4 linked regions of the Lepisosteus oculatus genome follow. The main gene of each other region encodes a partner of the protein of the gene in region 2 in a complex. Links are inferred from orthologs where the notes say so. Each region holds a gene or a part of one and is shown on either strand. Other genes may lie near its edges.

Region 1 (7,712 bases), on a different chromosome or scaffold from region 2:
ACCTCAGCGACCAGAGGCTCCTCCTTCGTGCCCAGCTCTGAGCCCACCAGGATCGGGGGGGGGAGAGAGAGAGGGCTCTCAGAGAAGCCAGGTGGACTTGGACACTTGTGCGTTTAGGAAAGGGCCAATGGGAGGCGTTTCGGGCGTCGGAGCAGTGCGGGGCGTGAAACTGCCCAGCTATGCCACTGGATGGAGGCTCCGGGATCCTTCAGGAAACACCTGGGATCCGGGGACCCAGGTCAGCTCCTGCGCTATGGTTCTGGATTTCTAAATGGCTGTGGGTTCGAATCCCAGCAGAGATGCTCTTGGCGTCATCTGCTGTTCACCCACCCATTTCCTAACGGGGAGCCAGAGTCTATCCCAGCAAGCAGTGGGCACAGGGCGGGATACACCGCAGAAGGCACACACAGACACACAAGGGGCAATTTTCCCCAGAAGACAATTAACTGCCTCAAACTGCAGGTTGGCAAGACCCAGGAGCGTCAGCTGCCAGCACAGCACAGTGGGACAGTTTCTTCCAAACTAGCCTATAAGACTCCAGGACTGGGACTGGAGACCCCTGATTCAGGGTGACCTGTAAGACACACTGGACTGGGGCTCCCCAGGACTGGGACTGGAGACCCCTGATTCAGGGTGACCTGTAAGACACGCTGGACTGGGGCTCCCCAGGACCAGGGCTGGAGACCCCTGATTCAGGGTGACCTGTAAGACACGCTGGACTGGGGCTCCCCAGGACCAGGGCTGGAGACCCCTGATTCAGGGTGACCTGTAAGACACGCTGGATTGGGGCTCCCCAGGACCAGGGCTGGAGACCCCTGATTCAGGGTGACCTGTAAGACACGCTGGATTGGGGCTCCCCAGGACCAGAGCCAGAGACCCCTGATTCAGGGTGACCTGTAAGACACGCTGGATTGGGGATCCCCAGGACTGGGACTGGAGACCCGTGATTCAGGGTGACCTACAGGACTAAATGTAGCCCCAAGCCCACACACAACACTTACCCTTCTTATTCTCATTCAGCTCCAGAGGCTTCAGACCCAACTTGGCCCTCAGCTTACTAGAGGGGGAAAAGAACAACCAGACTGGAGTGAATGGTTTTCCTGACACAATTACAGACTGTCACGATGGAAGTGTGTACAGAGGTACTCCTGCTGGCAAACCCTGTGATCCGATCCATTTCCCCGGATAACATCACCCCCCCCTCCCCATCACTGTTAAACCGCCCTTGCTCACTTACTTTGTTTCCTCGATGCTGAGAGAGGCATCCCCGGAGGCAGACTTTGGACCAGCCGCTGCACGGAGACAGTTCAGAGCGCGTTAACATCGCCAGAAATGACACAGATGAGCAAGAACAACAACAATAAATAACAGTCCTTACTATTCGATAGCTCTTTACAGAGCTCTGAGTGGAGGCTCCAGGACAGGTCATGGGGATCCCCTCCACCCCCACCTGGGTGATGCACCAGTCCGCTCCCCACACCCCAGCTCTCAGTGGGGAGGAGAGCAGAGTGATGGAGCCAGTAAAGAGAGGGGGATTATTAGGAGGCCATGATGGGTACAGGCCAGGGGGGAATTTGGCCAGGACACTGGGGTAACACCCCTACTCTTCTCGAGAGACACCCTGGGATTTTTAATGACCACAGAGAGTCAGGACCTCGGTTTTACATCTCATCCGGAGGACGGCGACTATTTTACAGTGCAGTGTCCTTATCACTATACTGGGGCATTAGGACCCACACAGACCGCAGGGTGAGCAACCCCTGCTGGCCCCACTAACACCTCTTCCAGCAGCAGCCTCAGCTCTCCCAGGAGTCTCCCCTCCAGGTACTGGCCAGGCTCACCCTGCTGGGCTCCAGTGGGGCTGCCACTGCTAACTGACTGGATTGCTGGCTGGCTGGCACAGCATTACAACACACAGTGTTCGTGATTCCCATTGCACAGCAGTCTGATCCACTCCAGGTTTCACCAGCTGAGTGAGGCTCTTGTGCTGATGAAGCCGTGGCCAGGGAGGGGAGATGAGCCGCTTTCTCGCGTTTTCTGGAGTGTTACAAAACCAGACTCTCACGGAGCACAGCGACGGGTCCGAACCGCTACCAACCGTGACCATTACTGCGGTTTTCACCGCACCTTCGAGGATCGAGCTGCGTCTGCAAGCGCGGTGCTGCAGAGGAACAGGTAAAGGGGTTATTCCCTGCTGGGAGGACAAGAAAAGAGACGCAAGGTATTGGGTTGTAGGGACTTGACGCGCCTGAAAAAGGCTCCACGGCCGAAACCCTGCGTCTCTTTTCTCCGCGTCTCGGAATAAACCTCTTCCTGTCCCCCTGCATATTTACATCCTGTCGCTGTTATTCTGTGAAGCGCTTTGAGAACCCACTTCTAAAGGCGCTACGTACGTTTATTATTATTACACATACACGCACAGCTATTACTTTGAGAAGGAACTTTTTTTTTTAAAAAAAAAGGGAGAGAGCTGCAGCTTTTTTCTCGTCCGAAGTCGTTAACCGACGCACCTTCCTCGTACCCGGCGTCCGTCTTCTCCTTCTTCACCCGCGGCTCGGCGCCGCTCTTGTCGGCCTTGCCCCGGCCCTCCCTCTCGGAGCCCCGGCCCCGCTCCCGCTCCCGGGACCGGGAGCGCTTCCTCTTCTCCCGGTCCTTGGCGCCATCCCGCTCCCGCTCCCGGTCCTTGTCCTTCTCCTTGTGCTTGTGCTTCCTGTGCTCGCGGTGCCGGTCCTCCGTGTCCCGGTCCCGGTCCTTCTCCTTGTGTTTCTTGGAGGAGCGCATCCCGTCAGCGAGCGCAGGAGGGTAAAAATACAAACAGGGAAAAAGCCACAGGCGAGTAAACTATCGAAACAAAGCCCACTCGCCAACGGCGTAGACAATCCCTGGCGCTAGAGAGTTCTCTTTTTTTTAACAACCCCCAAAAATGTCTTTTCCACGATCGAAAACACCGACAGCAACGCAACAACCGTCTCGACGCTCGAACGCAGTAATAACCTTTCACCCCTCCCCTTCCCCCCCACGCGCACCCACACACGAATATATTTCCGGGTCAAGGAGACAAGACGGGCGGCTTAAATGTGCGAGCGCCCCCTGCCGGATTCCGCTACAGCACCGCAAGAGCGCAGCAGTTTACAACAAACTGTTTTTGTTCTTGCAACAACAACAACGCATATAATACAGACAAGAGTACACCAATAACATCGCCAGGGGTACATGCAGTAAGACAACTGCACTTTACAAAAAAGGATTAACCAAGGTGAATCAAGATGAAGCCCGCCCTGCTTTCGTGTTCTCACATAAATAATCAGAAATAATCTGTGGATACGGTTTATTTCACACTGCTCAACCGCGGGTCTCTTCCCAGACCATTTCATTTTCTGTGCATAATAATAATAATAATAATTAATAATAATTGCTTACACTTATATAGCGCTTTTCTGGACCCCTCAACCTCCACCAATGTGCAGCATCCACCTGCATCCATAATAACGTGCAAATACAATGATTCAGTCACTGCCAAAGGATATTTTCATTTTATTTTCAATGAGATTAAAAATGAACGTGACTATCTATTTCTTTCAAGGTAACGTCAATATCAGAAGCCTTTCTTTATATCACTTTGCAGATCAATCCATAATTTTCTAACCACAGGACATAAAATTCTTATAGACAAGAGTTGTAAATAGTATTCGAAATGATACCCGAGGGAAAAGAGTGTTATCTTTTAGCTCAAACATATTACCTGTTAACAGGTAAAACAGAAGTAAAAAGGGTAAAAGGTGCTTAAATTCTAGTTTTTAAAGCGCTGCATATTTTACTACATAGAGGTGTCATGCTATACTTCATAATTTATAAGCGGCACAACTCATATTTAAAATAAATCTGTGTTTATATTTAAAACTGAAATGAGGAATTTAATTCACGTTCCCAACCTTTGTTCCATAAAGAAGACAGTTCATATGACAATTCTATATTCAAATGTTAGAAGTGAAATCTGGATTCAGCTGAGTACCAGTATAAAATTCAGGATCACCGACTAGCTACTACACTATATTTGATGCCGGAAACACAAACACAATAAAGTGCAAATTGAACAACATATTTTTAGAAAAATCATTTCATTAAATAGTGAGTTTATTGTAATTTGTCAGCAACGATCTTATTGGTATTATGAAGCAACAGAAGCCCTTATCTCAATGGCTACCAGTTACTGACCTGAGGTCAGCTGGCACATTGTGGCAGCTGGCTTGTGGTGCTTTTACGTGAAAAAATAAAATGACAGCACAAAATGACTATGTCGTCCTGTGTTTCCTGTGTGTACTGTTTCCCAGAACATGCTATAAATAAGGTCTCTATAAATTGAGGGGCATGTGAATTTTAACGACCTCCATTTCAATCATTTGAATAACCTTTTTTGCAATACTTTCGCAGTACTGCTTTTAAAATCTACTTGGATAACACCGGTGGGGCAGGCGTTGACAAGTCTCCATGAAGACAGATATGTATTGAAGCATCGTGTTTATATGTGCAGGCGATAGCTCTTCTGACGAAATTTCACTGGTGACGCGTGATTTTCTTTTTCCTCGGCGGCCGGAAGAGGTTCGGGTTTGGCGTTTTTCCACCCCCGTGACCCAGCTGTGCTACTAGGGGGGATACTGACATTTCTTTCTCTTCGGGTACGTTATTTTTCTCATTTCTAACGGTTTTTTTTAGAATTGCAGGCTAGAACCTCCACATTTCCGGGGACCAAAATTGTTATGGACGGAAATAAGAAATTCGTTCGGGAGTCAAAAGCGCACGTTGACATTTCAGGCATGTTTTTTTTTTTATTTTTCGTGTGTAAAAACCGGGCGCGGTCCTGAATATCAGTGCGTGATAAATCCAGGTGATAGGCTCGAGATGCTCAGGAGACACCTGCAGGTGTGCTTGTTACCGGCCAATCACAGGCCGAGAGGTACTGAGCCCTCCTCCCGCTCCCTGCCCATTGGCTGGACGAGCCGACGGACGCTCTCTATTGGCTGGCGGTGGGGGGCGGGCCTCGCGTGGAAGCGCTGAGGGTGGGAAGGGCTAGGCGTGCGCGAGAGCAGTGGAGCGAGATCGTCTGTGGCGTCGAGTTAATTGGAAGCGCGAATTGTAATTAAAATTATTGTAAAATATTGACGGAGAGGAAGACGAGGCCGACTCGACGGACGGACGAAAAACAGGTAAAGAAACGCGTTTCTTCAAATAAACAAACCAGCTCCCACGGGCGGGACGATAGTTTTAAAAAAAACGATTTAATTGAGAGACGCCAAGCGGCGTTCGGTGACCAGGCCTCCCGCCGCGCCAGCGGGCCTGGTTTGAGTCTGGACCCGCGGTGAAGCCGAGCTCCCCGGGCGGAGGGCTGGAGGCTCAGCGGCCCGGCCGGGTTCTGCTGCGGCCGGGCCGCCGAGGGAGCGGGCCCCGGCTCGGCTGCTCCTGAGCCCACGGCCCCCGGGCCCGACCTTGACCCCGGCCTCCCCTGGACCCGGCGCGTCCCGTCCGAGAGGTGCAGGCAGGGAGCTGCGTCAGCAGGCGAGGCTGCAAAGGTACAGGAAAGTTTATTTTCTGCTGAAAAGAGAAGGAATCCGTAGGAATCCGAATTTTACGGGTTTTAACTCGGGACTAAAACCCAGTTTAGTTGGGCGTTGCGTTAGTTTGCACCGTTTTCTTTTTTCGACCTCTTTTAGCTCGGTTTCTGTTTGGTATTGTTATTCTTGTGCGCAGTCCGAACTGGTAGAGAGGGGGAGAGTTTATTTGCCGTTTGTCCGTGTTTTGGTTGGGGTTCGTGTGTTTGAGGCGTTGTCTCTGGCCGTGCGCGGTGCAGTAGACGAGGGGGGGCCCTGCCGGGCCTGGTTTAATTGCAGCTCCTCCAGCGCCATGGGCAGGGGGCCAGTTCCCAGTTCCACTGGAGTCGGTCTGATGGGGCTCTTTTTGTGGGGCGGCGTTATTTCAGGACTCAGGGCGGCTTCTATTGATCATTAAACCTTGAAGCAACAGGTTACTCATCACCAATGTTTTCAAGAAATCTCTCTATGAAACGGACTCGGTTCATCCTGCAGAATCCTTCCCAGCCATGGCCCCAACAGCACAGTCCAGTAAAGCAAACTGAGACAAAACAGTGCTCAATTGCCCAGCTCCTGCTTCCTCCTCTCATGGGTGCAACAAAAGGAGCATACACACTAATCTAATACACACTCACTTCAAGCTCAAGAAGGCTTGTATTGATCATTAACCTTTAAAGCAGCAGGTTGCTCTGGCAGAAGGGTCGTTTGGGTAATTCAGGGCAGGAGAATGAGAGGTGTTGAGGGTCAGTCTGCAGTCTGGGAATCTGTAGATTTTATTTTACTTTAATTTTTTGTTTTGTTTAATGTAAATATCATTACTTTTATTTGCTAAGGCAACGCTGATTGTACCCATCGGTCATGCTAATAAAGCACCTTGAATTGAATTGATCACACTGTATTGAAATAAGGTGATAAAGCCGGCAGGAAAGAGCACAATGCCTTTGGAGTCTGGGAGCAGGGCTCAGCCCAGCGCATTGACGTTGTTTGAATGGGGCGATAACGGCCAGCAGGAGAGAGCAGGGTGTCTTGCCGGGTGGGGGTGGGGCTCGGCCCCAGGTGAGCTGCACAGACACTGACTGAAATCCTTGTGCGCAGTCCCAACTAGTTGAGAGTTTATTTGCCGTCTGTGCGTGTTGGTTGGGGTTCGTACGTGCGGTGTCGTTTCGGTCTGCGGGGCCTGGTTTACGTACCGAGACCGACGGATTTCAAAACGGCCTTTTCCCTCGGCCCGTAAGACTGCTAGACGGCCACCAGCAGTTACCCAAAGACCGCTGCTAAACAGCCAGGCCTCTTGAAACTGATGAGGTGCAGCCACGTCTTACCTGGTGCTTTGCCGTCAGAGGATATAAATGACGGGGCTCCTAGCCCTGCCGTATCTCCTTGTGTTATTTGTTGCGTAAATCCTGTAAATTGTCAATTGTTGTATTCTGCTCTGACCTTAATTTTGTGGGGCGGTGTCACTTCAAGGCTCAAGAAGGCTTGTATTGATCATTAACCCTTAAAGCAACAGGTTGCTCTGGCAGAGGGGTCGTTTGGGTAATTCAGGGCAGGCGAGGGTCGAGGTGTCGGGGGTCAGTCTGCAGTCTGGGAGATCACAGTGTATTGAAATGAGGTGATAAGGCTGGCAAGAAAGAGCACAATGCCTTTGCAGTCTGGGAGCGGGGCTCAGCCCGTTTACCTGGCGCTAATTCAGTTAGCGGGGTGGTGTTCCTGGTGCTGCTTGCTCAGCTTGCAGGCGGAGTGTTGAGGCTGGACGGTTTTGTTTTTGCTGCGGTGACGAGGGCCCCAGCAGTGCCCCGGGGAAGGGTCTCTGACCCCGGGGAGCCGGGCCGTGCAGTTTGCAGACTGTCCACCGGGGGCGGCGGGAGCCGCACTCTCACTCCCCTGCAGCAGAGGCTGCTTTTGTGAAACACGGGGCCGTTCTGGGGAGAAGCTGCGAGTGGCGCTGACAAAGCGGTAGCTCGCGCGGGCCGTCGGGGGCCGGGGTCTGGGTTAGCGGGACACCGAGCGTGCTGCGCACCGAGCTGGGAGCTGGCTGCGGCTCTTCCTCTGCCGAGTCCGAGGGAGCTCCTCCCCGGCTCACAGGAGAGGGTGACGTCACGGCAGTCGGGGGAGGGGGGAGGCCTA
Region 2 (7,720 bases):
CAGAGAAATCCAGATTCTTTTTCATGTTAATACATTTTCTGCTCTGAAGAGGAGATTATGTTAATTGCTAGTCAGCCATCATTAATCATATAGTTTTTATTCTAGACATCTGTAGACATTTTACAAGTTTAGAAGCTTAACAACTACTCTTCACTGCTGGCCAGGCAAACAGGAATGAATAAAGAAGGCAGCAAGGATACATCCTGCCTACATCTGCCTTCCTGCACATTCCTAAACATGATCAACATTGTCACCAATTGAGCATATTGTCACATGTATCCATTTTCTAACCACTTCATCCAATACAGGGTCGAAGGGGAGCCTATCCCAGCAAGCAAAGAGCACAAGGGGGGGATACACCCTGGACAGGACACCATTCCATTGCAGGTTACAAAATTACACAATAATCACGTATACAGTAAAAAAATACTATTTGATTTTTTTTGACTGATCTACCACCACATTATATTCTCAAAAGTGAAGACAACTTATAATCGAACAGTAAATCCAAAGTAAAAGAGGGGCTGCGAGTTCCCACTCCTCACCGTGATATCCTCCAGGGACGAGTCGATGATCTCATAGTTGTCCGGCAGGCAGTAGAACTTGAGGGTGTGCAGGTTGAGGAAGACATGATGGGTGAACTGCACGCTGTGGGTGTAGGCATGGGACTTCAGTCCACGACCTGCACAGCGCAGCCAAAGCACAGGATTATCGTCCAGCAAGAACACTTCACACGCACAGAGGTGTCCACCATATGCTCAGGGGTAAGTTCGCTAAGTCACTGCAAAGCTTGAATACTTCCTAAAATCAAGGCGGACCACTCTCTCTTACCAGTGAAACCGGGAATGATTCGGTCAGATCTAACTGTTGCTTAAACGTATAGTAAAATCTCCACCCAAACGGGCAAAAATCACCTAGACGTGAGTCAGAAGGATTGGTTCTAAGAGGTCATTTATGGCACTGACTTGAAAATGGTGTTATTATACTGTATCCTTCCATTTTCAGTAAGTACTTCACCCTGAGGAAGATTGCAGTGAACCAGAGCCCAACCAGGCAGACACAGGAGGCAAAGCCTGGCATATCCTGTGAGGATCACAAGTCCACAGAGGAGATGTGAAAGGCACACAAGATCCTCTGCACTCACCTTGGAAATATTTCCCACAAATGAGGCAGGCGTAGACGTTAATGTGAGAGAGGGAAATGGAGCACAGCTTTTCAAAATCGAAGTCCAACACACTCCTAGGAGGACAAAATAAAGAAAGAGTATGTTGTCATTCTCCACCAAGCTTTACAACAGCATTTCTGCCACATTCTTTATCTTTCTCTTAGGAAGCACTGTGCCTGCTCCTTTCCTTTGCTTGCCTCCCGCGGCATCTTCCAAAAGACAATAAAAAGCCCCAACATTAAAATGTGGAATGACAAATGTGTCCTTAATATCTGCTTCTATCTGGAACAAACTGCAGAGGCTATGGGGTTGAATGCTCAACAACTCAAATAGCAGAGTAGCTCACATCAGAAAGCTGGACATACGTCTAATCAGAAGTGACCCAGACGAACATGGTAAGACCCGTACCTCTCAATTTTATTTGCACTTCCCTGTAATTTCCACTTGTATCCTCTGTTTTATGTTAGACTTTAAGATCACTTTATTAGCCATATACAATTTCTTGCATTAGGAATTTGTCTCTTGATTCTTCAGAACGGCTCTGAGGATTTTAAACACTTGAAGCAGATTCCTCGTAGTCTTCCCCGTTCAAGACTAGAAAAAGTTCAGTTCTTTTAACAAACAGTGTAAGATACCCATTTTATGTACTTCTCTGGACTGATTTCAGATCAGCAATAGCTTTTCTGTATTGTGGTGTATTCAGCTCTAATGATCATCACTATGATCCAATGTGTAAAGAAACCCTACATTTATCTGGTTGGAGTTTTATCCAAAGGTACATGTCTCTGCAGCCATTTACCCAGCTGGGTATTTTACTAGAGAAACTCGGGTGAAGTGTATTGCTCAACTGCAGTGCCCCATCTGGAATTTTAACCTTTTCTGCATTTACGAGTTCTGAACTATACCCATTTACAGATTCGCACAGTCTGAACGGTCTTCAGTGGAGAAAAAAGTTGCTCAAACCATTCAGCGACCTCCCAAGGTTTAGGAAAAGTGAGTCTCGACAAAAATTGCAGACCATTTCCTCCATACATGCCTCTGAAAACAAATTAATAACACAAACCAATGAATAGTTCGGTCAGCATTTCTCTTAACTCACCTGTTGATAGTGTCCAAATACGGGCAATGTCGACTCCTGTGATCTTCAGCAACATCCTGTGAGCGTCCGGCTTTGGCTGGGACTGGTTGAAACACAGTGAAAACAGTGTTGTCAGCTACACTCATGTTTACCGGTATTAAAATATAGTACCAACAAGCAGAATAAAGTCGTCTGATTGTGGTCCAAATTTCTCATACATAAGCAAATTGCTCAAAAGCAACACAAAACAGACACGGTCTAGAAAAGTGTTATCAGTTGACAATGAATTCAAAACGTCGGTTTCTCTGCAAACAGACTGCACCATGGCTTTAGCCCTCAGCGAAACGTCGGGAAAGTGGGATTTTGTAAAACTTTACAACATCGTTCACCTCATTTCCACAGCCGATTTTCCAGCCTACGCTTCCGAGTACTTTATTTGATAGAAACTGCAAAGTATGAAAAGCTCTTCTGTTTTAGATACAGAAGTGCATATGAAAAATCTACAGTCGTTCAACAGCTTTCCGTATACCTCTTGTAGTTTATTCAATATGCTTACCATCATCCTCCCCATCTTCCAGCTCCGGATTCCTCTCCCGCTTCAATGACACCATGTTCCTTCACAAAACTACACTGATGAATGAATAACTGTGATAACGTTTTTGAAAATAATAATGTATTGATAAAACTCCCGGTTGTTTGAAACCATTCAATGACCACTCTCTCGCACACCACGACTCAACATGAAGGCCAACTAAAGCCTAACCCAGAGTTCCGCGCTGAACTCTGGGGTGCTCGTAAACATTGTGAAACATTGATTCATTTCGAAGTGAAAAGCTCCAGTTCTGTCAACATTGTCTTTATTTCACCTCTGGCATCTGTTAACTATTATTTAAAAAGCTGAATTTTGTACTATACGTATCGCGGGATTATTTAACTACAAGAGGGAAAGAGGAAAATAACGCAACCGAAAAATAATCTGGTACAACATGCTGAAATACCTTACACGTCCAAAGGCGATAAAACTCTAAACATATGTACGGGTATAAAGTACAGAAATGATCAATGTGAAACAGAGTGATTTCATGATTTAATTAAGAGTTCAAATTTTAGAAGGGAGAAGGCTCTAACAATTGCGCAACTCCGGATAATATTTGTGTTGGTCAACAGGCTAGTGGCCCTGGTCTTTTCATTCAGTTTTATGAGAACGTCTAGTGATGTACGAGTGCCAGGACTCCAGCTAAAGTTGGCGTAATTTTTTTATCGGTTGCTATTTTTTACACTGTTTGCTAGTACAAATAAAATGGAGGTGCTGCGAGAAGAAGAAGCATCGGTGGGCTCGGGGTTCGACCCGCATACCAAATGCAAGCCTGGAGGCCGTTTAGACATGAACCACGGTTTTTTACACCACATTCGCAGGAACCAGATAGCCAGGTTTGACGAACATAGTTTAAAAGCCACATACGTACTGTAGAAGGGATCGAAATTTTGTTGGCCTTTTAGTTAAACTGATAACATGTGTATCATTAAGCATAATAATTATTCCTTAAGAGGTTACGCCTTCTGCTAAAGCCGTTTTGCACATGCGCATCTCGCTCCGCTAAATTGTTTCTCCCTGAGTAAGACGAAAAAAATCGATAAACTGCTCTTAATTCACTCAAATTATTGAGCAAAAGGGCTTGTTTTGCTTTTTTAAGTCTCTGCGGTCCAGAAAGTAATTTCACTGTAAGTTGTCTGCTAAATAATAAAGTCAAGTACTACTGTAATAATTACCCTCCATGCATTTCTTATATCTACCATTTTCCAAATCACATTTAAGTTATTCTTTAAAAACTCTACAGGAAAAAAAAGGAAATTGTTGGTATAATTGGAATGTGAACCTTGTTGCATGCTATATTTTTGTTGGCATCCAAAAATGAAATGGTACACGAAAGTGAAAAACTATGAACTAACCAGCCCTGTTTATTTCTTTATCTGCAGATGGAGTCTGCTTTCAGAAGTGAAATGAAAAGGTTTCTGTAATAATGGGTTCATTCAGAATGGGTAAAAGCCGGTTGCTGCCCCTGCAAAGGTGACATGGTGTTTCTGTCTCTCCCCCAGAGACGATTATGACAAGGAGGTGAAGCAGGCGAAGGAGAAGCAGAAACGCAGACACAGCAACACGCCCAGCCGCCCGCGACGCCCAGACATCCAGGTGTATCACCCTCGACGCAGGAGTAAGACCTTGCACAAACGTGCTCTCAGACTTCGCTTTTAAGAACAGCAAGAGAGCCCCATCCATCAAGCCCACACTTAAGGGAATGAACTGAAAATCTGAATGGCCTCTTCAAAAATCAAGCACGGACTTTTTGAAATAGATATTCTTTCTTCTAGGTTATGAGCAGAGAAAAAAAACACGTTGTGCCAGTTATTAGCAGGTTCAGAGGGGCTGTAAAGTTAAAGCCAGAAGCATTTCTCCTTGTCCCCCTGCTCTGATCTGAAGTGTTTGGGTGGGGGGCAGCGTCGAGCCGAATCTTCTGTGCTGTTCCCCCCAGGTGCCTCGGAGCAGAATGCGGGGCCGGAGAACGAGGAATCGAACGACAGCAGCTCCAGTACGGAGCCGGAGCACCAGGGCACGGAGCTGTTCTGCCTGGAATACGAAGCTGACAGCGGCCAGATCACTTCCTTCGTCGTCTACAAGGTGAAGCCAAGTCACGGGTCTCATCTCATCAGTATCCCTTATTGTAGGCATGCGGGCTATTGGACAGTCTGCCTGCTGTGACTTCATACAAGCTGGTAACCCAGAAGGGTGTCATTCACAGCTTCTGCTGTACCCACACATAAGCTGAATAATGGGTTGGAGCTGGGAGTTCAGTATTAAGGAGGTTTTATTAATGATAATAATAATAATAATAATAATAATAATAATTGCTTACACTTATATAGCGCTTTTCTGGACACTCCACTCAAAGCGCTTTACAGGTAATGGGGACTCCCCTCCACCACCACCAATGTGCAGCATCCACCTGGATGATGTGACGGCAGCCATAGTGCGCCAGAACGCTCACCACGCATCAGCTATTAGTGGGGAGGAGAGCAGAGTAATGAAGCCAATTTTATAGATGGGGATTTTATAATGATGATGAGGGATGTGAAGCAGGTCCAGCAGTTCTTCAGTGCCAAACATTAAATTTGGGCGGTGCAGTGGCTCTGTGGCTCAGGATCTGCGCCTGTGGCTGGAAGGTTGCCAGTTCGTATCCCGCAGCCGGCAGAGGAATCCTACTCTGTTGGGCCCCTGAGCAAGGCCCTTTACCCCAACTGCTCCAGGGGCGCCGTATAAATGGCTGACCCTGCGCTATAACCCCAAGCTTCTCTCCCTGTCTGTGTGTCTCATGGAGAGCAAGTTGGGGTATACGACAAGACAAATTCCTAAAGCAAGAAATTGTATCTGGCCAATAAAGTGATCTTATCTTATCTATTAAATGTTTCCTTTGGGACTTTTTCACCTCCTAGGTTGGCTTGATTGATGCAAATGCACACTTTTTGTTTTTTAGAAGCCATCAGAGATTTCCCTTGCTAGGCTAACAGCACCCTTAGAACAGTCATGTGACTTTCAAGTCGTTCAAGCAGGTCAGCACGCATAGGCTGCAAAGGAACAAGTATTCCCTGCTGAAAAGAAACACGACGTTTCGGCTGCGGAGCCCTCTTCGGGTGTCGGCTGTGACTTTGGATCTCTGTTGGCCGGGTGGGTGACGGACGTGCCCGTGTGTCTGCTCCTGCAGGAGGACGAGCCCGACAGGGTGGTGGAGAAGGTGGCGGCCGCGAACGCGCTGGATGCGGCCATGCGGGCGGCGCTGAGGGCACGCGTGCAGGAGGAGATGGACAAGCGCCGGGACAAGCGCTGAGCCGGGCCAGCGGCGGGGGGAGGGCCGGGGCCTGGAATATCCACTGCAGCATCTAAGGGAAGGAGAAGGGGAGGGAGGGGGGAGTTTGGGGGGAGGCACCATCCCTACCTGAGCCAGTTCACAGCACCCCCGAGCCTCCGTCTTCAGCATGTCAGGCATGCAAATGGAACCCTTCCCCAGACTATACCTGTCAAAAAAGGATGGCGGCTCACAGATCCTGTGAGTAAACTGTTGACTGTCCTCCGATCAGAACAGTTACATTCTAGGAATTCGAGTTCTAGGAAACGGAGATCTCTTAATGGTGAGAGTGCAATAAAAATAAAGCATCTCAGAACTTCAACAAGAGATCTGGAACAGGAGGATGATCGGGTTTAGCTGCCTTTGTGCCAAGACCCACTTCCCTTAAAAAATATCAATACTGGCAGACAGGATGTGTGGAATGCTGGTACAGCGATAGTTCCTCAGTATTGTATCTCGGGACATAGAGTTCTTTTGCTATAACTTGCTGTGCTGCTAAACTGTCATCATAAGGTGACTAATCCATTACACCTAACAGTTTCTCCAATTGCAGCAGGTTTGCCGTCAATGGATAAGCCTGACCACAAACTCATTGTTGTTTCATGCATTCCTTGTGTCATTATTGCGTTATTTTGTTTTGGTCAATTCAGTATCTTTATTTTATTCGGCCTGGAATTCTAGATTAAAATGGACAATAAAAAGTAACAAGTGAGAAAATAAATTTGTTAGGGTGTGATGTGAATGAAGCACACAGGAACAACAAACGGAAAGAAACAGCACATCATCCAGATAAGCTACTAATGTTCAGAGCTTTGTTGTTCTAAAGGAGAAGAATGTAATTCTGTTAAAATGTGAGTACATACAGATATGGGATACTGCTGCTTATCTTGAGTGCGATGGTGGAGATCTTTCAGCCAACGTGAAGAGAAACATTTAGGAAGTCATTTAATTTAATGGGACTTTTTTTATGTGCTTCTCATTGGCAGTTCTTCCTTTTGAGCTCTTTCAAATTAACCCCCCAGTGATAAAAAGGATCCTAGAAAGTCACTGTCTTTGTTGACAGTTCCTTTTTATTCTCTGTTGAAAAATACATGCCTTTTATGCCATGTGATGGTCCATAACAGCATGATGTAACGTACATTTCCTTCGCCATCTAGAGAAGGAACTCTGCAATGGTTTCTACAAATGCTAAGACGCTTCCGTTGATATGTGTAATTCTGTGTTAGGATGTGTTTAACAGAAACAATTTTGTGCTTTAGGTAGCCGGTATTCTTTGAATATGTTGCCAGTATTTGTAAGCAGCATTATTCAAGGAAAGAACTATTTTCTTATGTTTCATTTTGAAGTTGAAAATCTCTTTATGTCCAGAAGTAGTTTTGCTTTAAAGTTTTATTCAGTTTTATTTAAAGATATTAAAAAAAATATTCAGTCTACCTGAAGCCTCAATTTTGCCAACTGAAAAGCAAGCAGACCATGAATAGTCATACAATATGTTTTTGAAGCCCACATTTATATTCTTTAAAAACTGAGCATTTCTTTATGGGAGCATTGTCAGAAATCTGCAGATAAGTGCCTCAG
Region 3 (7,135 bases), on a different chromosome or scaffold from region 2:
CCCTGTTTCATCTTAGAGCATTAAAATAAACTTAAACGGCTAAAAAACATCAAACCAAGCACACTCCGGTGTATCGATTAAAAAAAGAGAATGTGTTTTTAAAGTCTGTACAATGTACATCTTAAAGTTTTCAAATCAGAAAATCAATTAACCCCACAGGCTGTTGTCAACATATCCCAAGTACAGACAACACAAGTGAAATCTCTCCGAATAACTGTTCACCACACTGAAAATAACAAAAACAAAAGTAAGTGCATTCAGAAGAGTGGCGTTTCTCTCTGCACTTATGAACCAAATAAAAATAAGCATGTAAACTAGTTGGTTTATTTACATTTATCTGCGACACCCTCCTTTCCCCATCTCCATCCATCGCCATGCAGGCTCCAATTTCATTTGTAAATTAAAAAAAGGAAAACTGAAGATTGCCATAGGAGTCACCGAAGAGCAACATTTGAAACATTATTCAGCAGTCACAGAAAAGCATGATTCTGTCATCTGATCACACATTCCCCTCTTCACCGTGTCTTCTAGTGCACAAAGCCTTAACACAAGGTTTCAGAGAAGCTCAGACCTGGGCTTCCAAATCTCAATCTTGGTGACCCGTCTCCAATAGTTTCTTCTCCGGTTTTCTACTTAAACCCTTAAATGGACTACATTTGCTAATTTTAAGTTGCCAAGATGTTCCAATTAGAAGTTAAGAAAATGTAATTAGCATTAGATCTCCAGTGTCATAATTATGCACAAATGCTCTATAATCCATCTAATAACTAGCCTAGATAAGGGATCCATTAAGAAGCAGCAAGCCCAAATTGATGAAATGTCAGAAGACACTGGACACACCAGCACTAGGATTGGGAATCCCTGGTACAGAGAGATGACATTTTATCAGAGGGAGATAGACGAGATCAGGAAAAGACCGGGGGTAACCACCACCTGCAGGGTGTTTAAGAGACTGCATGGAAACTTGCAAGCTTTAACTACTTCTCCTGAGGCCACAACAATGATGTCGCTTTGGGGGTACAGAAAGGTTTGTGCACAGGTATTGGAGAGGAAAGGGGAGCAGGGTACCCCTCTAGCCGTCCTGCTGCTGGATGAAAGGATTGGGAATGGCCTCCATGCCGTCTTGGGGGCAAATGAGGACCACAGATGTTCCCCGGCACACCACCAATCCCAGCTGCCTGGTGTCCTCCGTCAGCTTGTACTGATCATCGGGGTCTGCAGACGACACGGAACAAAGGAGGGGTAAGGGCAGACTGAGCCTCGCCAGCACAAGTCATGCACAGTGTCTGCCTGGGCATAAGCCATCGTACCCAGGCAGTTGACCAGATGGAACTCCCTCTGTAGGGATTTATAGCACAGCATTCTGCTGCCTCTGAGACTGCCAGCCTGTAGGTCTGTACAAAACCCATATGCCTCAAAACTTGAATAACAACAACAAATAACAAAATAACAAAAATAATAATCCCTTACACTTATATAGCGATTTTCTGGACACTCCAATCAAAGCACTTTACAGGTAATCGGGATCCCCTCCACCACCCCCAGTGTGCAGCCCCACCTGGATAATGCAATGGCAGCCAGAGTGCGCCAGTCCGCTCCCCACACACCAGCTCTCAGTGGGGAGGAGAACAGAGTGATGAAGCCAGTTCAGAGATGGGGCTTATTAGGAGGCTGTGACTGGTAAAGACCAAAGCTAAGAGCTGCAGGGGGTTTTGGACCTTAATTTAAGAACTATGCCTTCAGGCACTGGCACCTACCTCTCATGTACTCTATAGTGCCGTCCAATACCAGGTTCAAGAGCGGATCGAACCCTTTCAGGATGCCACTGGCTGCCAGAGAGAAAAGCAAAAGGCTCCGTGAGTCGTTCTGCAGTCGATCCACTCGACAAAGGAGAGCCGAGAGGAGACGACCAGCAGGTCCACCTGCTCATTCACTACCTAGAAGAGCACTGCAGAGTTTGGGAGGAACTCTTGCATGAAGAAGAAAGGCCCACACAAACACACAGTTTCCTATAACATACCTTCTCGTCCACCCTGGAACTTCACACGGATGGTCTTGTCGATGTACTTTGACAAATCAAATATGCTCTCCTTCTTCTTCTTCTCTTTATCCTGAAACCATTAACGTTTTTAACAGGTGGGGTTAAAAAGGGACAGTTCAGGGCTACTTTGGGGAGACAATACACACATTTCGGACCAACCACTGCTCATCGTGTATTTTAAACGGAACAGTACAAGTCTTTTTAACTGTATCGTTCTTCGTTATTCCCGGAACAGCGGCCCACGAAGTAATAACGGCTAATCAAGACATTCACCGTGCTTTATTTACGATATGGACAATTTTTCTCTAAATAAAATCATTATTTTGGAGGCCTGGTTACTGCTCTCTGACTAATAAACGAATTCAACTCATGCAACGCCAAACACAGGTTTTCCTGCAGGTGAAAACATGCTCTGTATACCTCCAGAAAAATATGTACAGGCGCAGGGATCTAGCTCGCCAGCGTTTCAGTTAACTTTGCTAAACAGTCGGACATCCAAGGGCTTAAGACTCGGAAAGCTAGGAATAAAATCGTTTTTTCTGTTGTCTACAATAACTTTACATTAAAAAAACGTTTGAAAAGAAACATTTTGTTAGTACCAGTCAAACGAAGCCGGTAAAATTAAAATGGTTCTTTTACACAATGGAATTCTAATGTTTAAAATGCCTAACTTTCTATACCCCTCACCATTAAAAGAGACAAACAAAAACTAGATTTAATAATTTACAGTTTCAGTGGAAATTAGAGACTATACCGAACAAATAACCATATATTACACAAATCATACACGAAAACCATTCACCGATACTCACCGCCATCTTTCAATTGGGTGAGCTCCTCCCTTCGACCTTTAAACTTTGACCTCTTTGATTGGGGGAAACTCCATGTTTCAGGAACTATTCTTTACATAATGTTTCCTAACAAACGTACACCTGTACACGTAAACACTAAAATAGTAACGTAAGAAATATCCCTTTAACTAAATAAGCTTCAGTTTTTGAAACAAGGCATGGAATTCACTACCATAGAGTCCTTGCGGTAAATTGTGGACTCGTCCCGAGGAAGTGGTACGTTTGATTGACAGGGATAGTAGCAAATTACGTTTTTTATGCGGGAGCTTCTTTTTGATTGATGGAACTATTGACCAATAGTGTTGCGGACCGAGAGTAAGCATAACAGAAATGACCCAATGAAGTCGCGCTGCGGTATGGCGAGGGCGGGAGCTTCCAAAACAGCTGATGGTGGACTGGGCTTATGACGGGGATAAACCATAATAACAGCCAGACATCATGAGGGACCTGAGTGCTCTGATTTTCGGAGCTATATTGGTAAAACAGGTGAGATACTGAATATCTCCTATTCGCTGTAGTACATATTGCATTAAGCAGGGCTTTCGAGCGTTAACGATTTTAAGTAAATAGCTGAAATCCGACCTAAGGGGGCGATATTCTGGTTGGTAGCTATTATAATTAATGGGCCCATGTAATGAGTCTTCTGATGGATAAGCGAGTGTAAAAAAGCGATGCTTCACTTCTTATAATTATTATTTTTACATTCAGCTCCTCAATGTATATACTTCCTTTGTACAGAACCTAGAATTCCTCGATGTAATACGTTTTTGGGTTCCTTCTCCTATAAACTAACATCTACAACAGTTACCTCTGCTGCTGTTGATAGATGTGGATCAGCTGGACCTGAGCTGAGCACTGTTCCGGGGGAAAAAAAGAAGATTTTTCTTTACTGCGCGTTAGATCCAGATGAAGACGAGGGTAAACATGTTAAAACCCCCTACAAGAACGTTTAATTCACAAAACAGCGGCCAATATGCAGTCTGCAGTTCAATTCCAGTGGTTACCGGCTCCTTTTTTTTCCTTGTTAGAAAGAAACCGTCCGCATTTTGATTGTAACCTTGTGGTTAACCGAACTGAAAATGGCTGTTAAAAAAAACAAAATTAACATCAATATGTAGCGAACATGCTATTAGCGTTGTCCTAGAAAAGGAACCAAGAAAAGTGACCATTTTAATGTTTATAAAGAAATCGCGATGGGAGGCGCACTGACCTGTGAATTCATTCAAAGCGCCGAAACCTGGAAATTTAAAACGATGGACTATTTAGTTTTTCAGCTATCCCATGAGACGTTGGTATTAGAGACTTTATTGCTGGGCGAATTATTTTTTTTAAGTACATGAGTTGGTCGTCTGAGACTAAACATCGCCAGAGTATCGCCCAGAACACTGATTCAATAGGATACAGTACCCAGAACAGTAATCCTCATTACCGAAGAGCTGTGGGACAGACCAAAAAAAAATAGACAAAATCCTCAAAATCACTGACAGAGTCAAAGTAACGTCCTTCTTCAGAAGAGGATACAAAGAGAAACTACAGGACAGTGCATTTAAAACTGTGACCAGGGGGACTCCTCTTTACACAAAGGCTTGTGGGGAGGCAAGCTGGCACCCTTGTTGCTGAAGAGGTACCCTGAATTAGCAACACCTGGGAGAGGGTCTTTGAATAAGTTAGCCATTAACAACCAAATTCAGATGAACCGAATGGCGTCCACTCACTTGTCATACGGGGTAATAACTGTGAGCAGTAGTGTGAGTGTTTTGTTGTTGCTTAACATGAATACTCTTTTCCATGTAGGTAATGGGAAAAGGCATCTATCCACACTGTTTCAGTAGGGATCCCCGCAGTCACCCACAGCCCCAGGATGACTGAGACCCATCAATTTTCTAACTGCTTTATCCAGTACAGGGACGCTGGGGAGCTGGAACCTATCCCAGCAAGCAACAGGCACCAGGCAGGATACACCCTGCACAGGATGCTAGTCTATGACAGGGCAGACAGACACACACACACACTCACACACACTCACAACGGGGCCAGATTTCCCAGAAGACAGTTAACCCACCATGTCAGTGGACTGTAAGAAGAAACTGGAGCACCTGGAGGAAACCCACGCAAACGTGGGAAGAGCATGCAAACTCCACACAGACGGCACCCGAGATCTGGCATTGAACCCCAGCAATAATAACCACTGCATCACTCTACCTTCCTAAAACGGGGCTGCTGTGCTTAGTTCTCTTGGTGCCTTCTGAACAGTTACTGCCATGGCACCTAGGGAGGGGAGAGTCAAGTAAAAGGCCCAGAAGTATTCAAATATGCATTGGGAAACGCACCTGATTACGAGTGTTGTTGCCACAGGTGCTGGGGGAGTATGGCATGGCGCACGTCAGTGAGAGAGGGAAGAGTAAAGGGAAGGACTACTGCATCCTGTTCAACTCCCAGTGGGCACACCTACCTCAGGATCTCAACAAGGCGGTGAGTAGAGTCCAGGAATTCTGCAGCCGCCCAGCCTGCGGCCCCCCTGTCGCGACCCTGCTCTCCGTGCAGACCGTATTGCAGCTGCTCCTCGAAGGGGCGGGGCGCAGAGGTGAGGTTTTCCTCACGGGCACCAGGGGTTGACCCCCAGGGCCACACGTGTTGAATCAGCCCAGTCAGACCGCCTCTGCATGGAAACAAACCACAACAAACGTCGGGGAATGTGCAAGCTCCACTCGGACAGAATGGCACACACTTCCTTCAGTGTTAAGCTCGTTTGCATGCCTGTGATTGTTTCAAGTGGTTCAATGCTGGTAAACACATATCGTCTTACAACTAATAGGTAGGCAGACACTTTGCTGCAAATAAATGACCCCCGCCTCTGGGAAGCTTTATAGTTTCTTTGTCTTTGGGCAACATGGGTGGAATTACACAGGCACCTTTGAACTGCGTGCAGGGTGTGCAAGCAGGCAGTGGTTCGAACTCACCCTTGTGAAATGCCGATCAGTGCTCTGATGGAGTCCGAGCTGACTGACCTGAGAAAGGTGCACAGCCCTGCTAGCAAGGGAGTTCTGTCTCTCATGGATTCTGTGCAATTTCTAGCCCCGGCCAGACTGCAGTGATGCTAACGAGTCCCAGCCAAATCCTTTTTTTTGGGAATTATTAATTTTAATGAAAAGGTAAAATGGCACAAGAGCCGTGTCTCAGGTTCAGACCCTGTCAGGGGCTGCTTTTGCCTGGTGAAAAGGTACCAGACTGTGCAGCAGCAGTATCCCTGAAGGCTTTGGGGTAGAGACTGCTCTCCCAGTAACATGAGGATCCCATCTGTCGTGTGAGCGTGAGAGCATGTCTGTGGACGCTACCTGTCTCGGCGGCTCACACTGCCCTGCCCCAGTGCAGGGACTGTGTCTACAGCCTAAAAAAACAGGAACTCTAGTTTAATAGCACTGCTGGGCCCAGGTGTCTCTGAACTGTTTGTTTTGCCCTGTTTAAACAAGTGCTACAATTCCAGCTTCCAGGGCAGAATGCTAAGAGAACAAAAAGTGTTTTTTCAGTGGGGCCACACCCATCCAGCTGAGTGCAAGACTTTACTGAGCTCCGTAAAGGATCACCTCATGTGTGAGCGTAAGACAAGCATTTTCAAAAGAAAAAAATCCTTGCTGTTGTGTGTCTCTTGAAGTTGGTCTTCTGGGCAAATATAAAGGAGTCTTCTTTCCCACTTTCTTCTGTCGCTCTCAAACTCTTCAGTCCCGGCTCCAGATCCATGACCTGACTGCTTCTGTGCTGTGCTCCCCGTCAGAGGTGCCCGCAGGTGGGTTCCCCAACCGCATTCCCATGGTGCTTAGGGGGAACTGCACTTTCTATGAGAAGGTCAGGCTGGCTCAGATCAACGGGGCCAAGGGGCTGCTCATCGTCAGCAAAGACAGGCTGGTGAGTGGCCAGCTGGGCACTGATTATCCCTCTCTTCCTGTCCATCCACCCGTTTTCCAACCGCTTTGTCCAATACAGGGTCACAGGGGAGCTGGAGCCTATCCTGACAAACAGTTGGCACAAAGCAGGATACACCCCAGACAAGATTCCAGTCCATCACAGGGCACAAACAGACACACACACTCACACCAGGGCTAATTTTCTGAGGATCTACTAGTAGTTCTTTTGGACTTTGGAAGGAAATCAAAGCACACTCTTATTAGCTGGTAAATAATTCATTTGCATTTATATAGCACCTCAAGTCTAAAAGCATTTTTCATATATGAGGGGACCCATTTCA
Region 4 (7,890 bases), on a different chromosome or scaffold from region 2:
AGTACTCTGGACAAATGTAGCAAAGCAAGAATACGCTTAGATAGTTTGGAATAAGCTCCTCAGAGTACATTTTCTTAATGATACATTATTAAGGCAGACTACACAGTAGCATAACATTGTCTCAATGAAAGTACAAAATGCTCAAGATATTTATTGAGAGGAAAGGAAATAAAAAGCATGAAGCAAAGGTTTCCAAACAGCTTTCAGTAGCTAAAACGTTGATGTCTATGCTTAGCATTTTAGATTTTTTCATATTCTCAGCTATTTTTCCTTAATGTATAATTTTGTTCACATGAATTTCCAGTTACGACAGAAGCAATTTTATTAGATTGCATGCAATCTAATTCAGTAAACAATTACCAGTAAACATTAAATATCAATCCAAAATGGATTAATCGGCTCAATAGTCCTAAAACTCCAGTTCTTTTGTAATGTCAGGTTGTCTGTTGGTGTTATGCATATTTTGTATGTGAAGTCAAGGTGCTTTCCAATGACATTACAAGTTCTTATCTTCAAATAAATGAGAACATTAATAGTAGCAAAACCTCAAATTAAAATCACTTCTGCTGGTACCCAATACATTAAGCAGAACCAGAAGAACTACATGAACCAGAAGGACCACAGGGATTAACAAAATACTGTTTTCCTTGGACCTGGAAACAACAACAGTTGATTTGCTGGTTGCATTATCTAATTTGGTTATTAACTAACTGACACCCAAGGAATTGTAATTTGGCATAAAGTGCATAATGACCACATTTTTAATGTTACTTACGTAACATGAAAATGCCTGAATTATTTTTTCTGAATGAACCAATTGTTGCATAATGACATTTTCTTTTCACACAACTTGCAATATTTTTATTTTATAGTTTTTATCAATTGAACCTAACAGGACTGCAGAAATTTGAATCCGATTATAATTTCAGGGCAGATATGCAAAATGTATGCTTGCTATTTTCTCTACACACCCTGCACCTCAAACAAGTCATCAACACACATTAAACGTGTTTAGACTCTAAGACAAACATTTACTTGAGAAAGAGACATGAGCAGGCACTCGACAGAAGCAGACAGTAGATGGTGCCTCTGTTTTTTGAGGAAAAGGAAGACACTTTATATTTGAGAAGATACTTAAACACAAAATCAGCAGATCAAAGTTTCTGCTAGAATAATGGGGATATTATATATATAATGGGTTCATCTGGGGATATTATCACCCGGTAAAAAAACTATCTTACATTGTTTCTTTTATGTGTTGAAAAATAGTGGTTAGTAAAATCTTTAACGTTCTTAACGGTCTCATACCTTCCAACTGGTATTATTGATTCTTTCAAACTAATTGGGAATCACTTATTCATTTTTTGGTACTGAATGCACATTCTCACAAGGAAAGTTGAATGTTAAGGTGCAATCTGACAAATCTAAACAGAGAACTGTACACGTATGATGTAGCCTACACCAATCCGAATAACTAAACCACTAATTACACGTTTTCACTCTAATGTGTAGTGGGACATGTGGCACAAAAAATGTCAAGAAAACATATTTTGTAGACTATACCAATATTCAGTGAGATGGTCCAATCATTTAAAAAAAAGGTAAGAAGCAGTAATTAAAGAAAAAGGCAGCACAGGCAAACCAGAGTAGTCAGAGAGAAATAAAAAAAGAAGAGATTGATAAGGGAAACTTCTTTAAGCTTCACCATTTCTAACTGGGATGTCAGAAAACGCAAGAAGATGTTTCTCCAACTGTGAGGATTACATTCCTGTCACTTGGGTTCGGTACAGTCAGAGCGAAAACTGAAGATTTGATTTTGTGGCAAAAAGGGGGAAGATATTAATAGTTTATTTAAAGAATTAAAAAAAACTCACTTTGTAAATTTCTTCATAAGTTTCTTCGTCAATTTCTACCGTGGTTACTGTTTCTTCAACATCTCCCAGTATCATGTTTAAATGCTGATCATATGCCTGAAAGAAATCAATATAGAACATTTTCAATTCTATTTTAAATATGACATAACCTTAGTACTGAGTTCTTCAGAACAATTCCTAAGTCTTCTACATAGAGTTACCTTTGATTCTGCTAAGTGGTAAAAACACTAACTAATCTTAATTACAAAACATGAAAAGCTGCTGATTCTAGTAATCAAACAACTTAATAATTTATCTGTCTAAAGCAATGGTCAATTCTAAAGCATGGAATCAAATGTACTATCACAATGGAATTAAAGTCTTAGAAAACAAATCATTCACGTAATTGTCAATATAGCCACTAACATCTTTTAGATTGCACTATAACCGCTATTCCCCGTTTACTGGCCTTAAAACGGAGATGGTGTTACTCACGTGTAGCCTTCCTCTTAGCTCTCTGTCATTGCGCATTTTCACATAGATACGCTCATCAAGACTAAGCCTGATGAGATCCAAAGGCTCCTCAACAGTGTTGGCAGTCTGTTGCTGAAACAGGAAAACAAAAACTCGGTACAGTGCACTGTCCAGATAAACCTAAGGTTTAAATTGTGTAAACTGGAGCCTCTAACTAAAGCCATACAAATTACATTAGTATCTGTTTTTTTAATTTTAAAAGGATTCAGTAATCTAATATGACGTCTGTGTTGATTTACAAGAACATTGTATTTAGTCACTTCTGCATATAAAGATACAGAAAGCCAAAAGCTATATAATATGCATCCCATATCACCACTTATTATTTCAGAAAAAAACACCTAGCTAATTCAATTCATTTTTACCGCTCCTGCAATGTTTTGGCTATTATCCAGATTACCGACTCTCATCACCACATAGACGTGAATTCTGGTTTTGCGGAAAGCCAAAATCACATTACAAAACACTCTCTGATCACAAGCAAGACATATAAACAGGAATTTCAAAAATATATAGTAAAGTAAAAAAAAAAATCCCAACCTGGTCCACCTCATCCGCCATCTTTCAAATTTCCCAGAATTCCTTGTGAGCGTGCGTTTTATCGCGAGAACCTCTTATTGACATGTGTAGAGACACGATCAGTTGTTTTAATAAGTGTAGTGAAAGAGGCGAGTAAGATCGGGGCTAACGAAGCTGAAATAAAGACGAAAAAGCACTTAAACATTTTTGTTCCGTTTTTTAAATGATGCCAAAGACCAAGATGGTGGTGTTGTATTTCACCAGTTGGGATTATAATTGTTACGTTTTCCAGATGCTGATACAGTTCAAGGGATGTTTTCTTTTTGTATTTAAGGATTATATGGCATTGTTTGTAAGAATGTACACGTGGGGTGGTCTCCGTTTACTAAAAATGTAATTCAGTGTTACTAAATGTTACCTTCCTAAGATTTTCTCTCTGTTTAATAAATGGTGAAATATTCTCTTCTTTTCCCACCTTTACTGCAGTGCAATGATAGGTTTGCTAACACAGACTGGTCCCTTGTAACTAACATTGAACAAAAAGCAAGGAATAACTAACTTCACACAGGTACTCAAAGATAAGATAAATATTTTAGAAAAAAGTTTCAAACAGATACTAAATCTCTTTTTTTTTACTGGGAATTTACTGTATATCTAGTGTTTCACAGTTTTATTTTACAACAAAATATTCCCCTTTCAGCAGTAATTTCATCTTTATTAATTACCAGTATAACATAACTCTAGGTGTGCGATGCATTATTAACACACTTTTTAAATATTGTAATTTTGATTATTTCAAAGTATAAACTGTACATTGCCAGTCTTTTGAAAAGAATCTTATAAGAACTTCTCATTCAACACCTGGTAAAAACAGAAGCATTGCCAAGTTCATATTGTACATATTGTACATTATCAACTGGTAGTCTGCTGAATTTAAATACAAGGTAAATTAGCTCCGTTGACAGTGATCAGTACAAGCTGTAAATTTTGCTTCAGGGATTTATGAAAAAAACACAACCACTGAGATGTTTAGTGAAAAGCAGCTTGCACTATTTTGTGATTTAAACATATTTTTTAACTGGGAAGCACAATGTGGACCTTTAAAATTTTACAGGGGTGTCATGCATGTGTTAAAAAATAAACTCTTCTGAATTTACTACTGACCAAACAGACTTACATTTATTACTTGGAGAGTTGTAGAACTGTGGCATTTCTAATTGTCAGTTAAAGGTTGTGACTATATGGCCCATAAATATCCAGTGTTACTGTTTGTAGGAGTAGTGATGTCCACGCCAATGACCTTGCTAAATATGCTTTGGGCTTGCACAATCTAGTTTACCTATATTTCCCCCTTATTTCAGTCAGATATGTAGTGGAGTTGTTGGTGTGTTACTGCTATTACACATGACCAAGGTAAGGCAGTCTGATAGGACCACAGAAGAGCCATGGAGTGTCTATGTAAAGTATGTACTAAGCATCAAAATAAACTTTATTTTCTGAAAATAAACTATATGGACTTTAACTATGATGTGTCTGTTCAATAAAATGTCAGTACGCATGCTACAAAAAAGTAATTTCCCTCTGTCCATTTGTTACAGTTATAATTGGTTTCTTTTGGCAGTCAATATACATAATAGACATAGTTGCCTTTATGATATACACATAAACACAATTTATCTACAACACCATGATATATAATTGCATGACATTATCAAGGAATGAAACGGCATAGTAGCCTATATACAATAAATATTCTCATATGACTGTCACTCCAATCAGATACAACTATGGTAGGCCAGGTTCAGTACTACACTGTACCAAAAGATAATGAGTTTGCAGAATCCAGAAGGAAGTGGAAAGTCGAAGGCAGATATTGTATAAAATCATCTAGGGAAGGCCATCATCTAGCAATGAAAGAAGTGGTCTCATCTGTGGACTTCCAGCAATGTTGGCCTAAGGGACAAATAAACTTAGATAGAAGGTGGCATTTGTTTGATATAACAAAGAAGGAAAATAAACCCAAATACTGTATGCAACTCATTCACAAATAACAATTTCAGTCTATACCACTTATGTTCCTTGTATGAAGGCTGGCAAGATTAGTCCACACAAGACTGCCGACTCCTCCCGTCAGACAACTTTTTAGTGAAACGAAAAAGAAAAAAAATGACAATGAAGACAACACATCAGGTTGCCTCTTAACGGGTTAATACAGTAATGGGACATAACGGGTTAAGTTTTACTTTGAAATAGCAGATGACAGCGTGCTGAGCATTTTGCAGCAGCTATAGACGGTAGCGCAGTGAGGTCGTTCGGTTTTGTCGTTCAATATCATACGCATATACTGTATATCAGGCCTAATTTAATTAGGGGCTTCAGTTGTTTATTTGTTTTTTTTAAAGACTCTCAGTTCAGAAATTATCATGTGCTCTTCGGCTATTGTTCTTTCGGTGATGGTCGGTGTCATCTGTTATCTCCCGATTCCAGCGTTTTCTAGCCTTTCTCCAAATTACAGACCCATCATTGGTAAGGTGACATCACTCAGGCTACTATTTTGCTAAACGTTTTTTTTTTGAGTGTTTTAAAAATTCTCAAAGGTTATTTTTGTAAGGGAGCCAACGATTGTCCACACCTTTTATTCATTTAAATGCGCAGGTGTATACAGTAATTGGAGCTCATCTATAATTGTAGAAAATGTATGTATTTTACCGCCAGTGTAATTTCAAGTCGTTATGTAATACCATGCGTGAAGTATTTGTCTGATAAAAGGTTGGGATGTTAAGATTTTATATTTTACACTTGCATGTATTTTTGTCTTATCATAGAATTTCGGATTTATATATCAGATACGCGTGGGAAGATTTGTTCTGGTATTTGGAAACATTTTTAATTATTGTGACATGTTGAAAATGGCACGTTATTTTCGGCAAACTGAAGAAGGGATTCTTAGTGAAACGTTCAAATAAAAAATAGCTGTTAGAATTAAACGAAAAAGTGTTAAATCCCAGGGTAGACTCTACGACGTTGTTTTGAACATTATATCAGAGAAATATGCATTTTCCAACATAAAGAAGTTTCTTTATTTTCGATCACCAGAGACATTCCTGTGCTCAGGGAGATTTCAATAGGTCCAAAGTGACTGAGCTAATAAACAATTTAATTGAAGCTGAGATTTTTACATTGTAGAGAAGTTTGTCTTATTCTGCTTTATTGGATAGAAGTTGCTTGAATTACCACGTTACCTACTGTACCTTACGCTGGAGAATCCAATATCAGAACTTTCAAGAATATGCAATAGTCATAAACCATGTTCCCTTCTACTTGTTTATAATTATAGTTTTGATTATATGATTTTCTCATATATTTTTAGAACTGCTGAGTGCCTCTCTTATTTGGTATAAATTAATAATAGGATGAATACAGGTTCTTGGAGGGTTTCTGGATTCCTAGACAAAGGTGCTTGGAAAGGGTTCAGCTGTCAGCAGAATTCAGGAGTGCAATTGAAAATTCAGTTACCTGAACTGAGATGGACTGCCTACAGATAGCAAATTTTGAAACCTTTTAGATGAGTTAGAAATGGACATCAACACTATGATACATAGTAAGAACTGAAATTATGGAGCTTTCTTTACAGAAGCTTCCACATATAAGTATTAATATGAATATACTAACAGCTTCCTACTCAAACCTGTACTTTACATTTTATGTACAGTATATATAGTCTACATTCATGGCATTGTGAGGTACAGTACTGTTCAATCACCAATTCATGATAAAAATACATAGCTACATGTATTACAGAAACATATTACCGTACTTAATATTTATTCCCGATGACGTTGCAATGCTAAAGGCTTTTCATGTAATGTTTATGACATATTGTTCTGTCCTGGGGAGAAGTAGAGCTACATGATCAAAATTCTAGTGACAACACAGGCATCCGAGCCTTTCAGACAATCTGGCAACACGGATACTTCTTACTCCTTCAATTGTTTTGAGTCAGCTTTTCAGACGTTTTTTTTTTCTTCTACAGGGATCGTAGCCCAAGAAAATCTTCCCAGTGACCCTCACGCACAGGGTTCATCTTACATTGCTGCTTCATATGTGAAATATCTGGAGGCCGCTGGAGCCAGGGTTGTGCCACTCAGGTAAGATCTTTCCACTCAGGAGTGTAGAGCAGACAGGAAAGAAAAAAAAAAGCACCAGTTGCTCTGTTTCCTGGGAAATTGCAGGCGTATTCATGCAACATTAACTGTACTAAATCAACATAACCTTTGTTCGTTCTTGTCTTGTTTTCTGAAACTGTATAGTTAAGTAATTACAGGCTCTGTTAAATACCTGCGTGGTAGTTGTACAGTACATTCTGATTCCATCAGAGTAGTTTAATGACTACAGACAATGTCCGTGTTGGACTGTTTTATTTCAGCGGCCCAAAACAACTTAGTTTGGTGGAGAACCTCTTTTTCTGTCAAGAACAAACTAATTCTGAATGAATAAATGTCTGTGGGTACCATCCATTCTCACAATAGTATAGTGTATATCACAATAAGTGTAAATGCCTAAAATCCACTTTCATAATGCTTTTTGTGCCATTCCAAATTTATGGCTACATAAAGGATAAGGACACAAACTTAGATGTCACCAAATTAAAAGGTTAAAACATGAAATTAAATCATGAGTATTAAAGATTTCCATGATTCCTAACAATTACAATTTGTTCTTGAGAGAAGGAAACAGAGAAGCATTTGAACATTTGAATATTAACATAGGTAAGGTTTTTAAGGCAGAACTGAGCATGACTAGGAAACCATGTTAAAATGTATGCTGAGATTTGATTTGGGACTAAAGATGATGACATTCAGAACAGATGTAAGATGTGCAAAAGTAAGAAAAGACAAAGCTTGTTTAAATCTTGTAATGCTTTTACATTGTCATTGTCATTTCACAGAATAAACCGCACAAAGGAAGAATACACCAAGTTATT

What was found.
Region 1: usp39 (region 2) and sart1 share a complex: the UniProt entries of both Homo sapiens proteins name them as parts of the U4/U6-U5 tri-snRNP complex. The link is inferred for Lepisosteus oculatus from reciprocal best matches to the Homo sapiens genes USP39 and SART1.
Region 3: usp39 (region 2) and lsm7 share a complex: the UniProt entries of both Homo sapiens proteins name them as parts of the U4/U6-U5 tri-snRNP complex. The link is inferred for Lepisosteus oculatus from reciprocal best matches to the Homo sapiens genes USP39 and LSM7.
Region 4: usp39 (region 2) and lsm3 share a complex: the UniProt entries of both Homo sapiens proteins name them as parts of the U4/U6-U5 tri-snRNP complex. The link is inferred for Lepisosteus oculatus from reciprocal best matches to the Homo sapiens genes USP39 and LSM3.

Annotation. Positions count from the first base shown.
Region 1 is NC_090713.1:22,042,470-22,050,181, forward strand, and holds the start of sart1 (U4/U6.U5 tri-snRNP-associated protein 1), read right to left. Parts: upstream 3,008-7,712; 5' UTR 2,782-3,007; coding exon 2,511-2,781; intron 1,293-2,510; coding exon 1,238-1,292; intron 1,058-1,237; coding exon 1,002-1,057; intron 38-1,001; coding exon 1-37. Other genes in the region: collagen, type I, alpha 1b-like, read right to left, coding at 4,941-5,067, 5,310-5,559, 7,536-7,663. UniProt on the Homo sapiens protein: Plays a role in mRNA splicing as a component of the U4/U6-U5 tri-snRNP, one of the building blocks of the spliceosome. May also bind to DNA.
Region 2 is NC_090697.1:70,093,436-70,101,155, forward strand, and holds the start of usp39 (ubiquitin carboxyl-terminal hydrolase 39), read right to left. Parts: upstream 3,020-7,720; 5' UTR 2,855-3,019; coding exon 2,800-2,854; intron 2,347-2,799; coding exon 2,265-2,346; intron 1,240-2,264; coding exon 1,145-1,239; intron 683-1,144; coding exon 546-682; intron 1-545. Other genes in the region: c2h2orf68 (UPF0561 protein C2orf68 homolog), read left to right, coding at 3,544-3,674, 4,341-4,456, 4,775-4,920, 6,002-6,124.
Region 3 is NC_090724.1:6,313,180-6,320,314, reverse strand, and holds lsm7 (U6 snRNA-associated Sm-like protein LSm7), read right to left. Parts: upstream 3,013-7,135; 5' UTR 2,860-3,012; coding exon 2,854-2,859; intron 2,112-2,853; coding exon 2,021-2,111; intron 1,830-2,020; coding exon 1,758-1,829; intron 1,216-1,757; coding exon 1,073-1,215; 3' UTR 390-1,072; downstream 1-389. Other genes in the region: sppl2 (signal peptide peptidase-like 2), read left to right, coding at 3,331-3,378, 5,248-5,364, 6,613-6,795. UniProt on the Homo sapiens protein: Plays a role in pre-mRNA splicing as component of the U4/U6-U5 tri-snRNP complex that is involved in spliceosome assembly, and as component of the precatalytic spliceosome (spliceosome B complex).
Region 4 is NC_090699.1:59,414,150-59,422,039, forward strand, and holds the start of lsm3 (U6 snRNA-associated Sm-like protein LSm3), read right to left. Parts: upstream 3,006-7,890; 5' UTR 2,949-3,005; coding exon 2,928-2,948; intron 2,460-2,927; coding exon 2,349-2,459; intron 1,971-2,348; coding exon 1,875-1,970; intron 1-1,874. Other genes in the region: gamma-glutamyl hydrolase, read left to right, coding at 5,330-5,432, 6,940-7,054, 7,855-7,890. UniProt on the Homo sapiens protein: Plays a role in pre-mRNA splicing as component of the U4/U6-U5 tri-snRNP complex that is involved in spliceosome assembly, and as component of the precatalytic spliceosome (spliceosome B complex).